2 linked regions of the Daphnia pulex genome follow. The protein of the gene in region 1 purifies or fractionates together with the protein of each later gene. This does not show direct contact. Links are inferred from orthologs where the notes say so. Each region holds a gene or a part of one and is shown on either strand. Other genes may lie near its edges.

Region 1 (7,351 bases):
AAACCACTTCAAAATTTGTTTGGAATTTCGTGTTGATTAATTCATTTACCACAAAACTGTAAATTAAATTGGAAACATCTCCTCTATCGCCATCGGTCGCTTCAAAATCATAAACAAGTCCATTGTTATTCTGCTCATGAATATATAGGACACAATTAAAATTTAAACGTTTCTAAAAATTAAAATTCAGTTACCTCTGAGAAATTCAGCGCTGAAGGGGGATACTTGGAAAAGAACGGCCTATTGTCGTTCATGTCCATAATGTTAAAATTAAGTGGTTTGACTGCAGGCAAAGGTTTCGAAATATAGAAAGTGCACGAGTACGAGTTATTATCGCCACTTTCGTAATCAAACTCTTTCATCGAGATAATGTCCACCATCCCATTCTTTGGGGTACCCATTCGCAGAACAGTTCCGCAACCATTGAGCAATACCGGATCGTAAGATTCATCAGCACCTGGAATATTTTAATAAGCCATTATTATTAAAAGTGATAACACAGTTATTGACTATTAACGCCAATGAAATAACTGGTGAAAGAAGTTTCTGCTCGTTTAATTAAAAATAAAACAAATTTTCACCTTGGGTGTAGTAGAGAACGGCCAGAGTCGTGTTCCCTGGCACATTTTCTTCGACGTCCAATTGATTGGCTGTAACGGTAACATTAACGTGCCCAAATGCCGCGCTAGTGGGCGGAGGTAAACCGATCCAAGGATTTTGCCATTGCGCACCTATTAAGTAACAAATAAATAAACTTTTATTTTATTGACAAGACAAAATCTGAGAGTTACCCGCTGAAGAAATGAAGAGAAAATACAGGAACCCGCTGACCACTTTTGGATGTAGAACCATTCTTCTGAAAACACTCGTTCGTTTGGAAATGTGTACGACTGTATGAATTTTTACCAAGGGAAATTGACGCAAATGAAAAATGACACAACAATCTCTGGCAAGCGATGAGACACGTCTAAATGTTTTCGTTTTATCTCGGACGTTGCATTACTTAAATATGGCTGATGGGTTGGGCAAGATTTTTCAAGATAAGACAACGTCAATTATGAGAGTTAATTGGGAATTATCTGGTATGTCCAGCTTAAATCTTCAGGTATTTAAGTCGATGAATAATAAGTGGCAATCAAAACCTACCGACTGGATCGCATTCAATTTGGCATAGGCGTGTCAGTGCAAACAATACAGCACAGGGAGGCAAGAAATTCCCCTTGCGTTCCGTTACCTAGGCAATCTTATCTCCAACAAGTTAAATATGTACAGCTCAAGTGTTTTGGATTGTAAAAATAGGAATTTGGTTTATGGCCAAGCAGTCAAATTATAATGGTTGAATCTATCAACAGTTGCTTGAAACGATAGACTTTCATCTTGACTCGTTTTTAATTATTCATTGATTCAAATTAGCCAGATGCGCAACTCTTATTCATCGAAAAAGAACATATTCTTTTTGCACCTAGTATAAAATTAGTTTTAGCAGAGATAACAGATCAGAGATAACGAAAACAGTACGCAACCGTCGTTGGGACATCTAGTGTCAAAATAATTATAAAAGATGATTCAATTAATAACCTACAAACCTCTAGGATGAAAAGGTAAATTGGTTACCGCCACTGAAGAGAATCTGGACGCCTAAACATAAAAAATAGCAGGTTAATCTATTCAAAACTCTAATCAGAACTTCCTAATATTCACTTTAAGTCATGTTGATGACGGAAAATTCAAATTGATGTATTTGAGAAATGGTTATTTACAAGACGGTCATTTCACGATGATTCAACAACAGATATTGAATCATTTTGAACCTGTGAACCTATTGAATTAAGTGTTTGTCTGGTGAATTTTTTGCCACTTGGCTACTAACGACGTCATATCTGATGACATTTTTGTCCGTTTAATCCCCTTGACGGGTTCGTTACTCGTTTCTTCTTCTACGACCAAAGTAGTCGACTCGGCCACTGAGGCGATTGCTATCTCTGCTGGTGTTGCAACCTCCGGTGCTACTGCTGGCTCGACTGGGACGACTGGTGAATTGGGTGTAACAGTATCCAGAGAAGCCAGATCGGTGTAGAACGAGTTCAATGCCGAGTCTAAACATTCTGCAACATCTTCACTTTTGGCAACTACAGTGCATTCTGCAGGCGGGGTTGAGGGTCTCTCACCGTCCGAATCTTCTAGCACCATATCGATGACTTGATCTTGATGAGTTTCTGGTTTGACTGTTTCTTCTTTAAACTTGTTTTCCATTTTATCCAGCCATTCTTCTAGAAAATCTGTCTCGAGTTTCTTTAGGTTCCAGGCTTCTTTCAAGATTTCCAACTGGGCAGTTAATTGTTCAGTTGAAATTCCAATAGAGGGTAGTTCCTGCGAGCTCAAGTGATTCTCCAATCGTGTGATTTTTTGGGCAACAGTTAATGGAGCAACTGGCGGTACAACCACTAATGGTTTCAGGATTTCTCCTGCAATGAACTGGACTTTTTGAACAGGAGTAGAAACCGGGATATCTTCTTTCTCTTGGAAACCCAATCCCTTGAAAGTGTTGACGATTTTAAGTGGCGAATCTGGTCTCACCTCGAGATCGAGAACGGGATGGTGAGTAAGAGGGAAAAACTTTTTAAAATCATTGCCGAGCTTCGGGCGCGAGTCGTTGGATTGTTGTGGACGCCTTCGAAATAAAGGAATAAAAGTTTCCGTTTTGTGATCTGGAGGAACTTCCATTTCAATGGCTGCAATAATACTGTCGACATCGATAGTCAAGCGACCGTTGGTTTTGGCCTGTGCTAATTCTGGTCCAGTTTTGAGATTCTTTTCAGAAGCACCGATTTTAAAGCTCACTTTTCCTTCTTCTTTCTTCATTGGTTCAGGAACGTTTAGCTTTTCAACTGTAGGTGTTGATACAGCAACAAAAGTTCTAGATGATTGCAGATGAAAAGGAATTATAATGTTTTCTCACAGTAAATTTAATTTTGAAAATTAGTACTTGATTGGAAGTTCTTGCTTTATTGCAGAATTCCCTGGTGGGACAGCTTTACTTTCTTCCTGGATGCTTGGATTTGTGTTTACTTTAGTTGATGCAACGCTGGACTTAGACATAGGTGGTTTTAGCAGGTCCTGGGGTTTTTCCCAAGTCAGCTCGTTTGTGAGTGTATGCCAAAAGTAAGGTTGTCCTGATTGAGGATCCCATAGCTCTTGCCAAACTATTTTTAAATAAATTTTTAGAAAAGTAAATTCAAGGGTTAAAACAAAAACATTTACCCGAAGGAGTTGTAGGTGCTGGAACCTCTTCCGTTGATTTGATTTCATTCATAAAATCTTTAAATTCCGAATCTTCGTCTTCTTTATTGCTATCTTCATCGTCAGAATTGTAGTGTCCCAACAAAGCATGGAGTTTATTGGTTGGTGCACTAGGAGCTACAGGAGGATTGCCCATTGGAGGGTTGTTTTGAATTGAAGGACTCTGCGATCCTTCAGTATCGTTCATTAATTTTTTACTTTAGTATTTTACGGACAAAAATGATTTACCTTCATCATCAAGCTGAAGAATTTGTCTTCTATTTTTAGGTCTCCATCTAGAAGCCATTTTGTATGCACTTTCAAGTATTTTGTTTGTCTTTCTATGTCAATAATGCTTTCGCGTTTCTTTCGGTTTGTCAAAAAATAAACATAACATTTTTCGTCTGCTGTTCATGAAATCGATGTTTTCAGGTTTTCATATTTGGATTTTAACATTAAAATACACGATTTCACCTTTTAAAAAATGTCTTTAAATTTACACAAAAAATGTTCTCCACTTTTGCTGTAATTAATGTAAAATTTCCAAGGTTTTTTTTTCCATTTTTCATTTTTTAGACTTGAAAGTCCGCCGCCATGCGGATATAACAACCAATCAAACCATTGTAAAATTTAGCCGACTTGTTTTCCGTCTGCAGTTGAAAATCTCGTAAATCGAGGTTGCTTTAAGTCATAATTATTTACTCGCTCCCGGTTAAAGAATTTCAACTGAAAGTACTTAGTGTATGGGGAATTTACAATAAAGAATAATCGCCAACGATAAATAGTTACGATTGATTTGCAAATTTTATGATGCATCTGCACTTTTAAACATGTAAATTATCATTGCAGTGAGTTCTGAACAAGGATCGTGGAGCAATATCGTTTTCCGATGTGCAGTAGCAACTGGAGCTCATCCCATTGATCTTACCAAGACACTGATACAATTAGGGCATGAACCCTTGGCGCCAGTACCTACCAGGACATTTTTTGGTAGACCTGCTCTCGGTCTTCCTAATGTGTTCCAATACAGTAAGAAAGAGAGAGTGTACTTGAAACATGTTTTGCAATCTAATGTGATCTGTTTTTTTTCTTATTTTCTAGTTGGATACATAAAGAAACGAGATGGATTTTTCGGCCTCTACAGAGGACTTGGTCCTAAAATGTGTGCAACCATCATTAAAGGCATGGCATTTCAGAAAGCCACTGAATTATTCATAATTCATGTGGAAGGCAAAAAAGAAAAGTATGTGACTCAATTCACATTTTTATCATTATGTGCATGTAATGTATTATTACCTTTTGTAGAAAAAGGGACCCATTCACAGCTGATGATGAAGAAGAAGAGGAAGAAGTGGCGGCTGATGAAACATTCTCGACATTCGCGTTGACTCTCTGTCGTAACGTTACTGCCACTACAGCATCTATTATTGCCAGTCAACCTTTCCACGTTATTGCCGTACGAACCATGGCTCAATTCGTCGGGGAAGAGCAAAAGTATACGTAAGTAAATTCTCTCGATAGTCGCATCTTTTGGCAATTAACTAATACCCCATCTTTGTAATCATAGTGGGGTCTTTGCATCTGCAAAAGAAATTTACCATGAGAGTGGGATTGCAGGATTTTTCCAAGGAGTTACCCCTAGAATTATTGGAGAACTTTTGGCACTTGTGCTGGCTTCGTCCGCCAGCTTTACTGTCAGTACATATATTCTCGGTGACCCGCGCTACAGAGCAACTCTTAAAACAACTTTCGGGGTAAAAACAAACCTTGGATGATTTCACTTTTGATTTTTTGTTAATTGCTCTAAATTTTTCCTTTCAAGTTTTTGTCAACGTCGCTGACGTATCCGTTCCATGTCATGTCTGCTTGTATGGCAGTAAACAATTCTGGTTTGGCCGCTGGTCAACCCCCTCACATGCCCATCTACGTCAATTGGACCGACTGCTGGTCGCATTTGTCGCGCACCAATCAAATGAAACGAGGCTCGTCTATCGTTTGGCGTTACTACACTGGAACAACTGCCGTTTTGCGGCCAAATTAAGTTCCAGTCGGCTAGACTCTTGGATACGGAGGTGATTCTAATCAGGAGGATTTCAATTATTTGTTTTCTTTTCGAATTTCGAAGTCGAATAAGAGCATAGGATCATTCAAGTATGTTCATTCACAATCTCTTTTTTCTTTGTAGATTTTGATAATTTCTTGATAGATTTGGGGTCTGGAAAACTTATTTTCCTGTTCTTGAACTTTCCCGGTAGAATGGTCAATCATAATTTCTCACATCATGTTAGTTTCAATAGTAGTAAACCAGAAGGATCGCACATGAAAATTGTCCAAACAGTGAACTCCCTCGACAAACTGTGTGACCCGCTAACTCATCTGCCGTCATGAAAATAAAAACCAATTAGACCTTACGAAATGTATCATTCTGTGCGTTGCTGTACCTTGACAGAACGTATGTATACGACTATTGTCCGTACTGAAGGACGCACTGCTTGATGATTTGGTTTAATAATTGATCTTGTTCGATTTGTGACGCTCGGCCATCGATCTTCCAGTTCAATTGAAATGGAGCCTGGATCTTACCAACTGAAGCTGCTCATTCGCAATCGATTTGGAGTTCTAGGTTAACGCGTTTTGTTTGCTCCCTTTACCATTTGCCAGCAAATGTCGTCAAGCAATCAGAGTATTTTACAACCAGAGTTAAAATTACAGGAGGATTTGGCTGCCTTCAAAAAGAATGTAGACAACATGTTCCTTATCACCATGGGTATCTTCGTCTTTTGTAAGTTTTGGCATTTTTCTCAATTTAATTGGTTTTTAAAGTCATTTTTTATTTTTTAAGGTTTACAAGGTGGATTTGCATTTTATGAATCATCATGTGTCCGACCCAAGAATGTCATCAACGTCCTGTTTCGCAACTACGTCGATTCAAGTAATTATTAATCTACCAGATAAAATTATATTGCTGTTTGTTGGTTTCATTTAAAAGGTATCAGCGTGATATTTTACTTCTTGACGGGCTATGCGTTAACATTCGGTGGGGGTGAAAATGGCTTCTGTGGGACGCGATATTTTGCTTTGGTAGGCCTGCCCGAGGACAAAATGGCACATTGTTTTTTCCAGTACACGTTCGCAGCCACGGCAACATCAATCGTGAAAGGAATCGTGCACGAACGCTGCACTACCACGGCCTTTCTTTGCTACACTTGTTTGATTTCAGGTTGTGTATAATTCCTTGCTTAGAATGTATATACCTAAAACTCACGCTGCCTCTTTACATTTCAAATGTTTAGGCTTCACTTACCCGGTTTCGTCTTATTGGGCGTTGTCAGAAAATGGCTGGCTTAAGGTATTGGGTTTCGAGGACTTTGCCGGAAGTGGATCAATTCATGCGTATGCTGGGGCAGCAAGTTTAGCAGCTGCCTACATGACCGGCCCACGACACGATCGATTCGAAAAGGACGGGAAAATGAACAACATTCCTTTCCATTCTGTTCCGGTCATTAAAACCTTGTTCCTGTTAAGAATTAATCAAATAACTCGGTTATTTTTTTTTAACCTATCCGGTTTAGCAAGCGTTTTTAGGCTCGTTCTTCTTTGTTTTGGGTATGCTCGCTTTTAACACAGGATCAAATGGATCTATTACAAATCCGGGAGACGGAATTGTAATAGCTAAAGTTGCCATCAATACGATAGTTTGTGTTTTGGCCAGCTCAATGACAGCCATCGTTTTCCAGCGTTTTGTTTTTGAACGCTCTTGCTGGAATTTTGAAGTTGGGCTAAATGGCAGTTTTATTGGAATGGTAAGCATTATTCTTGCGAAGAGTGTGTATATTATAGCTTTGCATAACCTCAATTCTCAACTGAATCACAGATAACAATATGCGCTGGATGTAACCAGTATCAGAATTGGACTGCTCTAATTGTCGGATTTCTGAGTTACTTTGTCTACCTTATAGCACAGAAAATAATCATATTTGCCAAAAGTAATTTTGTTTTAAAAATAATGTTGTAAATTGAAAAATAATTAAACTTGAATTTTCAGTTGATGATCCTGTCGGAGGACTAGGAG
Region 2 (7,048 bases), on another chromosome or scaffold:
TTCTTGTTTCGATCGTGCCGCCATCCTCAGATTCCTCTTCATCGCTATCCCCCTCTTCATCGCTGCCGTCTTCTTCGTCACCAGAAGCTTCTGATCCATCCTCATCGTCGTCTTCATCACTGTCGTCTTCTTCTTCATCATCATCGTCGTCTTCTTCGTCGCTGCCATCGGCTTCCGAGTCACTTCCAACCTCTTCGCCGTCATCCGAATGAGATACATTAACCCATCCTTCGTCATCGGATTGAGTTACATCCTCCCATCCATCACTTTCATCTTCGGCTGCCGACTCTTCCTTTTCGTCATCCGCGGCAGCACCTTCAATATCCGGATTGAGTGCCTCTGCTCCAGGAATATAATCCTTGGCATCCACAGCTCCGTAAGCTCTACATTAGTGGGTGACATAAGGTAAACGTTGTTAAAATGTCTCTTCTTCTGCCTTGTCCACTGTAATATTATTATGCTATTATTCCATGTTATTACCTGATAGCCAACTCGCTCATAGCTTCGGTCGGCCGCCCCTTGAAAATGAAATAAAATGAAAGACATGATTAAGGATGCCAAAGAAAGCTTAAATATGACGTATCAAGACAAAAATTATTCTCGCATAAATACTCTTTCTTTGCGCGGCAGCATTTCCGGGTTGATGATGCGATACAACTGCAGAATAGACCTAGAGGCCATCATCACACTCTTCTGTTTAGAAGTACGGTACTCGACAAGTTCACGAAGCAATTCGGCGTTCATTACCAGTGGGCATCTTGCACAAATCTCTCTTATCGAGTTCAACCTGATTCGAACAGAACGCGAGTATTATATATAAATGCAAATGCGCATGAAGTGTAAATAAATAGCCCTCACCCAACAGCCATTACTTCGGCGGAATTCCGCTCTGTTACGAAATTGTTGACAATGGCACTCACAACCGACTCTAGAACATCAGGTGGCAACAGCTCGTGGGAAGCCTGTGCAGCAAACAGCAACATTTTTGTAACATCTGTCAAGCAAAAAGATATTAAAAAGAGTTTTTTTAATGTTCAAAAACGGATCGGGTGTATCGAATAGGTTTCCGTTTCCGTTAACGGTTGTCACTTGACAGTTAAAACAATAGGTTGGTAATCACCTCTCTGGTGTGGCTGTAAGAAACGATTCAAGTACGGGTAGAAATTAAAGATGAATAACTGGTGGATTCCTATCAGACGCGAAATCACATCCAAAGCCATGACTTTCACTTCAAACCGCTCGTTCATCCCTTCCACATGTTTAAACAACTGTTCGGCGAAACCTTGAGAAGAACAAACAATCTTCAATATGCAGAACGGAACTTTAATTTAATAATAACGGAGAATTATTTACTTTGAGGATCCCGGACCAAGTGTATGGCGGAGAAGTTAAAAACAGGGGCCTTCTTGGAATTGCTGCGTTTCTGGATGACAAAACAAAGCTCACAATTAATTTACTGGTCTCGTGATTCGACGACCAAGGGAACCAATGGACTGTAATCCGAACCTTTAAAGTCTTCTTCACTCTCTCCATTTGTTTTTCGCGCTTTCGGGACTTCTTGTTCACTCGAGCGGCCATACCGACTTCCTTGATAATGACGTTATCATCCTAACATGCACGAAAATAATGTTTAAAATACAGTTGTAAAATTTAAGTTGGAAAGAAATTTCTCTGCTACCTCTGCGTCACTATCTGAATCTTCTTCTTTTTCGTCAGAACCCATAAAAAATTGTAAAGCTGCCACCATTATCTAGTCATTACATAAAAATAAATTTTATTATGTTTACAATGTAACTTTAAAATGTTGTAAAATCTCACCTTTGTAGTTTTTGACAAACATGCAGTAGCAATAACATTAACAGTCTTTTGGTCATTCCAAATATTTTTCTTGTAAAGGTCAATCATTACATCCTACAAAGAAGTATAAAAATATAGACTTACAAATACTAACATGAATAACATTTCAAACTTACCAAAGACATCTTTGCTGCAGTGACATTTGAATCTTTAAGCATTGCAAACATGAAATTTTGGAGAACCTATGGGGAAAGACTTTGGTTAGCGTAGACTTCAATTTAGAGTATTTACATAATAAAAAAAAATACTTACATTATTCAGCTTAATGTTCTTTGATTTTGAATTCACATTCTTAATGTCTGTAATGATGTGATTTTTTAAGAAAGCTCTCAGTTCCTTGTCAGGGCAACGAAGAAGCTGGAAAAATAAAGTCAACAAAGCTGTTGGAGAAATCAGGTTCTTGTTACGCAGTAAGATAAGAGCTCTGCAGAATGTCTAAAAGAGAAATAAAATTAGATTTGTCTAGGATCTAAGGTGTGATTGCTTACTTTTCTCATGTCAGGGTGTAGAGTGGTTGGATGTCGCTGTAATATATCCATTAGTTCTTGGGCATATCCTACCAAATCTTGAGGAAAGCAATGTGACACCTGGATAAAAAGATTCACGTCAATTTTGATCAAACTAATGTATCTGTTTGCAGGAGAAGTTTTAAATCCAAGTCAAGTGTGTAACTTTATACCTGAGCTAGAAACATTACTAAATCATCCAGATCTTTATTATACTGATCTGGTTTCATTTCAAAGACCAGTTTTGTTGAAATGTAATGGCGATACTGCTGCATAAACTGTTGATGAAAAGATTAATTGTCAGTTAAATAAAAATTGGGCAAAATGTATAGCAAAAATATTAAAAGTTGGTTGACAGCCATACCTCATCTTTGTAGGACGCTGGGTCTCGCTTAAGCAAGTTCTGTAACTGCGGTAAATTTGTAGGAAGCTGATTATTGTGTCTCACCATTTTAAGTGAACAATAAGTAATCACACTATTTTAACAACGGATATTTTTTACAAGCTTTTTAAACAATCTTGGAAGAAACAAGAAACTGGGGAGTTTTGCGTTGTAGAGCTCCACCACGTGTTAGTGTAGCTATGACAACTGAAGTTGTCTGCTATTCGTTGGCCAATTCGTCTGCTTCCATTTGCGGCTGCACGGGAGTCGACGCACGGCAGCTTGGTGAGAGGCATCATATTTTTAAAAATATAATCAAAAGTTTTATCAATTTTTTATTTCTGTTTGGTTCATCACTTGTAGTAATTGTGAAAATAAAAATGGCAGAGTCTCGTACATCTCTAAAACCAGAAGAAGATGTCCTTTCACGACGTGAACTATATGTAAAATAATAGTCAGATTATGCAATAATTTGCTTGATATTTAATTATCGAAATGTATATTTTGTTATAGAAATTCAGTCCAGAGGAACTAAGAGTATTGAAAGAATGTAATTATGAAAGTTTCTACTTCAGAAGTTTACCTTTGGGAACCATACTTGGAGCTGTTGCTTTTTATGGAGTCAAATCGGGTTAGTAATTATTACTCAGTGTAAATTTTTCTATCATAAATATTCATTATTTTTGAAAATTAACAAGATGGTAACTGACATTTGTTTGTATGCAGGTTATTTTAAGGGTAGCACCAGATGGGGTCCATGGCCTAAAATCATTATAGGTGCATCAGTTGGGTACTTTGCTGGAAAGTTGTCTTACCAAACAAAATGTGCTGAAAAATTGATGACTCTTCCAAATTCACCACTAGCTGAGGCCTTGCGTCAAAGGAAAGGGAAAAACAAAGGTTTCCAAGAAGTGTAAGTCTATCCTTTTGTTAGCTCGTTATCACAAGTACATAATTTCTTTATGTACTTAAAAACTTGAACTGTAGTTAATTTGATGAACTGAGTGCAATCTTGCCAATTGACAACATTTCTTACATGGTTTGTAGGTTTACTTCAGAACCTATAAATCTAGGACAATCGTCGTATACGTCTGATGCCGAGGGCGGAAATCAACCGGATTATTTACAAGAAATAAGAAGTGAAGATCGGTCGTACGATGCTCCTCCGACTGCTGTTGGACTGAACGATTCGTTTCGACCATCGATGGATTCGTTTGTTGTCTCAGAACAGCCTCTGCCTTCTCCGGTCCAGAGTTCATCGTCGTATGACGATCTACGTCGAAGAAATCGCGAGGAATTCGAGCAGAAGAGACTGGATGCTTACAGAAAAACGGATGGAATCAAAACGACTCCAAATGTTGCACCACCACCCAGCTCGGGTTACGCCGGTCCGCAAAATCTGCCATCGGGATCTCGCACTTCTGACAAGAAAAATCTTTATGGCGATGTTTGGGAAGAGTAAATATCGTAGCCGGATTAGATGTAGGGTAAAAAGCATCAATTGAATCGCCTTTATATTTTTGTTTACTTTTGTATTTCACAATTTCAACCCTAACATTATAGAACTATTATAGAATCAGTGAGAAACAAGTTCAGCTGTTTATTTCTCATGATAATTCATATGACTTTAAAAGTCTTCCTGTATGAGTGCACTACTTGTGCATGCACAAGTCAAAAAGGGTAAGTGGTAATTGTCATTGGTCGAGGTTAGCTTTGTTTTGTTTTGCCCTATCCCTTGGACGACAAAGTGTTATTGACCATAGCTAGATTCGCTATTGTATTTGAAAAGTAAAGAAAAAAAAATCTCGAGGAATAGTGGTCATTCAATTTGTATTTGTAAATGTAAACGTAGTCCAAAGGAATTAATGACGTAGGCACGTAGCCACAACTTGGTGGCTGTTACGTTGCGTCGTTGAACAACTATTCGCAATTTAGGAATTATAGCCCTTGAATCTGTAATTTCACTTTGTATTGTAACTAACTTTACAACTTTTAGGAGGAGAGAGTCAGTGACATACAATAAGTGAAGGTGACCAACTTTAAATTGATATACCGGAAAAAATAATTTAATTGCCAATCTTTTATATTTTCCTGCATACTTCTTTACAGCAAGACGGTCCTATTATAGAAGATTTTTAAAAATAACACCATCCGGTTTACCGCTTAGAAGCATAAATTACAATCTTCGTGTGAGACCATGTGCGGATGTGCCTAAGTGTTCCGACATTTGGTTCTGAAAGGATCGAACGAAAGTGAATCTGGCATTTTACAGTACAAAGGCACTCGAGCACATCATCAATCATCTCACTGTTTCTTTTTTGATACGATTCCTTACACCACAGTTAAGCCGAGTATTCCAATTTGCTTATTCTTCTCTAATTTTGGTCCACTCGTCGTTCAAGGAAAAATTTTGCAGGAAAAAGAGTAGTACGACGTTGTAGTGGAGGCTTCGTGGCCTTAAGAAAGAATGAACTGATGAAACACAGTTTGTGCGCACGTTTCGGATTACTAAGCCAAAAAACTTTATACAGCGCAAGCTAAAAATGATAATTGAAAACAGTTATGGTTATACAGAATCGTTCACAATAATTCTCATCGGATCTTGAAAACAGAAAATAGTAAGTGGTGTTTTTAATAGTATACAACATTTTAATCGTCAGTTGCTCTCCCCAATTCGGCTCGCAGGAGACTAGAAACCGAGTTCAATCCAGTCCCCATATGTTATGTCATTTTTGTCATTATTGCGAGAAAACGTTTACGAAAAGACAAAAAGAAAATAATAATCTAAAACGTGATGTTTCTTCGTGAATCTTCGGAAGTTACTTGTTAGCTTGCAGTCGTTTTATTCTTTCGATTATTTGAAGTGGAGCCAGCAGCAGTATTTTTCTCCTTCTTTTCTTTTATTTTACTAAAAACAAAAAAGGTAATTCATTCATAATTAGCGCACGGCACTTTTTTCGTTTCATGTTTAATTTACTTCTCTTGTTCACTACCTGTTGCGTTCATTGCCCGGAACAAAACTGGGACCAGGGACGAGTTTAGGTTGATGCTTGGGTCCGTGTTGACGTTTCCTTCCGGATCGAGCTGTCGTTGGGCTTTGGAGCTCAGCATCGTTTGCTGTGAACGGCAGTAACAAATCAACTACACCACCTCGTTTCTTGTCACGGTTGCGGTTTTTGTTTCCCCTGTGGTCTACTGGATCATTGGAACCTAGTGATGCCGTTGGATTATTTTAACAGATACTAAATTCCATTAGGAGTCATAAGTTTGAAGAGATGATGTGAAAAAGTGAGAAAGGATATACGGTTGTGAAAGCCTAGTTAGTGTATGGTCAGTGCAACACGTCGTTTGGTGTATAGTTTGTGAGTAGAAAAGCTATGGTTATGCTATTTAAAAAATAGCTATTGGATAGTGACGCACCTTCCCAAGACCAAGGAATATTATTATCCGTATCTGGTAAATGCATTTGACGGGATCCAGTTGGCCGCGGTCCTCTTACTCCGCAGCACCAATACGGTAACGGACGATTAAGCTGCTGCCACGTCCCGGCACCACTCGAATCAACGTCAGCAGAAGCCAGTCTGAGGCCTACTGCAAAAGGAGATGTAAGCAACAGACACCCAGCGCAACGTGCAGGAGGTTGAATTCATTCATCGATTTCATGCTCACCAAATTCAACTGAAAATTGCAACTACGATTGAGGAAACTACTCGCGGAAAAAGAGAGAGAAATGTTGGACACAAGCATCATGCAGTAAGTAATAAATGGTAAGCATCCAAACCGTTCACCATGTTTAAGCTGTAGAAGGAATAAGCCGACAGTCTAATTAGATATCTAATAGACCGACCCCAAGTGCTTCGAAGATAGTAGAAATGAAAGCTTTTGGTTCCGCGGACCGTTTATTAGCATCATGGCTCCAGTTTGGAAAATAACGTCAAGTGTCATCAGCATAATAGTAGTAGTACTGTATATATTCAAGTCTTTATAGACAAGTTAGATTTTGGCGATTGCTAAGTAAATGGGTAGATGGTATTCCGAGATAGCAAGGGTTGTAATACGCGAAAAAAAAAGTGAGGGTTCGATGTTGAATGGGGCATAGAAAAATCGTTATGCTTTGGAAAATCAGATGAAAAGATCATAAAGACTGATATGAAATGGACAGTAATTCGAAGCTTTTCTTTTTTTTCTCAGGGGGAGCAACAAGAATGTGATTTTGTCTAACCTGACGGAACGTTGGGCAACAGCTGGAGATTGGCCTCGTTAATGCGTGATTTGCGGGCACGGCCGTTGCTGAGCCGTACCG

What was found.
Region 2: the proteins of mitochondrial carrier homolog 2-like (region 1) and OCIA domain-containing protein 1-like purify together in Homo sapiens (affinity purification with mass spectrometry; 3 studies listed by BioGRID and IntAct, with this or other methods). This does not show direct contact. The link is inferred for Daphnia pulex from reciprocal best matches to the Homo sapiens genes MTCH2 and OCIAD1.

Annotation. Positions count from the first base shown.
Region 1 is NC_060023.1:12,108,244-12,115,594, reverse strand, and holds mitochondrial carrier homolog 2-like, read left to right. Parts: upstream 1-3,884; 5' UTR 3,885-4,062; coding exon 4,063-4,063; intron 4,064-4,128; coding exon 4,129-4,308; intron 4,309-4,380; coding exon 4,381-4,522; intron 4,523-4,584; coding exon 4,585-4,779; intron 4,780-4,846; coding exon 4,847-5,033; intron 5,034-5,101; coding exon 5,102-5,320; 3' UTR 5,321-5,690; downstream 5,691-7,351. Other genes in the region: cadherin-23-like, read right to left, coding at 50-130, 195-457, 582-731, 792-852; uncharacterized protein LOC124198180, read right to left, coding at 1,828-2,917, 2,987-3,203, 3,262-3,471, 3,529-3,586; putative ammonium transporter 1, read left to right, coding at 6,028-6,061, 6,122-6,211, 6,269-6,499, 6,573-6,778, 6,852-7,082, 7,154-7,265, 7,325-7,351. UniProt on the Homo sapiens protein: Protein insertase that mediates insertion of transmembrane proteins into the mitochondrial outer membrane. Catalyzes insertion of proteins with alpha-helical transmembrane regions, such as signal-anchored, tail-anchored and multi-pass membrane proteins.
Region 2 is NC_060019.1:8,683,300-8,690,347, forward strand, and holds OCIA domain-containing protein 1-like, read left to right. Parts: upstream 1-2,930; 5' UTR 2,931-2,945; coding exon 2,946-3,030; intron 3,031-3,108; coding exon 3,109-3,188; intron 3,189-3,258; coding exon 3,259-3,376; intron 3,377-3,471; coding exon 3,472-3,658; intron 3,659-3,792; coding exon 3,793-4,207; 3' UTR 4,208-4,335; downstream 4,336-7,048. Other genes in the region: protein SDA1 homolog, read right to left, coding at 1-383, 481-518, 613-787, 859-994, 1,121-1,282, 1,354-1,423, 1,507-1,608, 1,679-1,750 and 6 more; uncharacterized protein LOC124190603, read right to left, coding at 5,572-5,653, 5,739-5,955, 6,166-6,333, 6,968-7,048. UniProt on the Homo sapiens protein: Maintains stem cell potency. Increases STAT3 phosphorylation and controls ERK phosphorylation. May act as a scaffold, increasing STAT3 recruitment onto endosomes. Involved in integrin-mediated cancer cell adhesion and colony formation in ovarian cancer.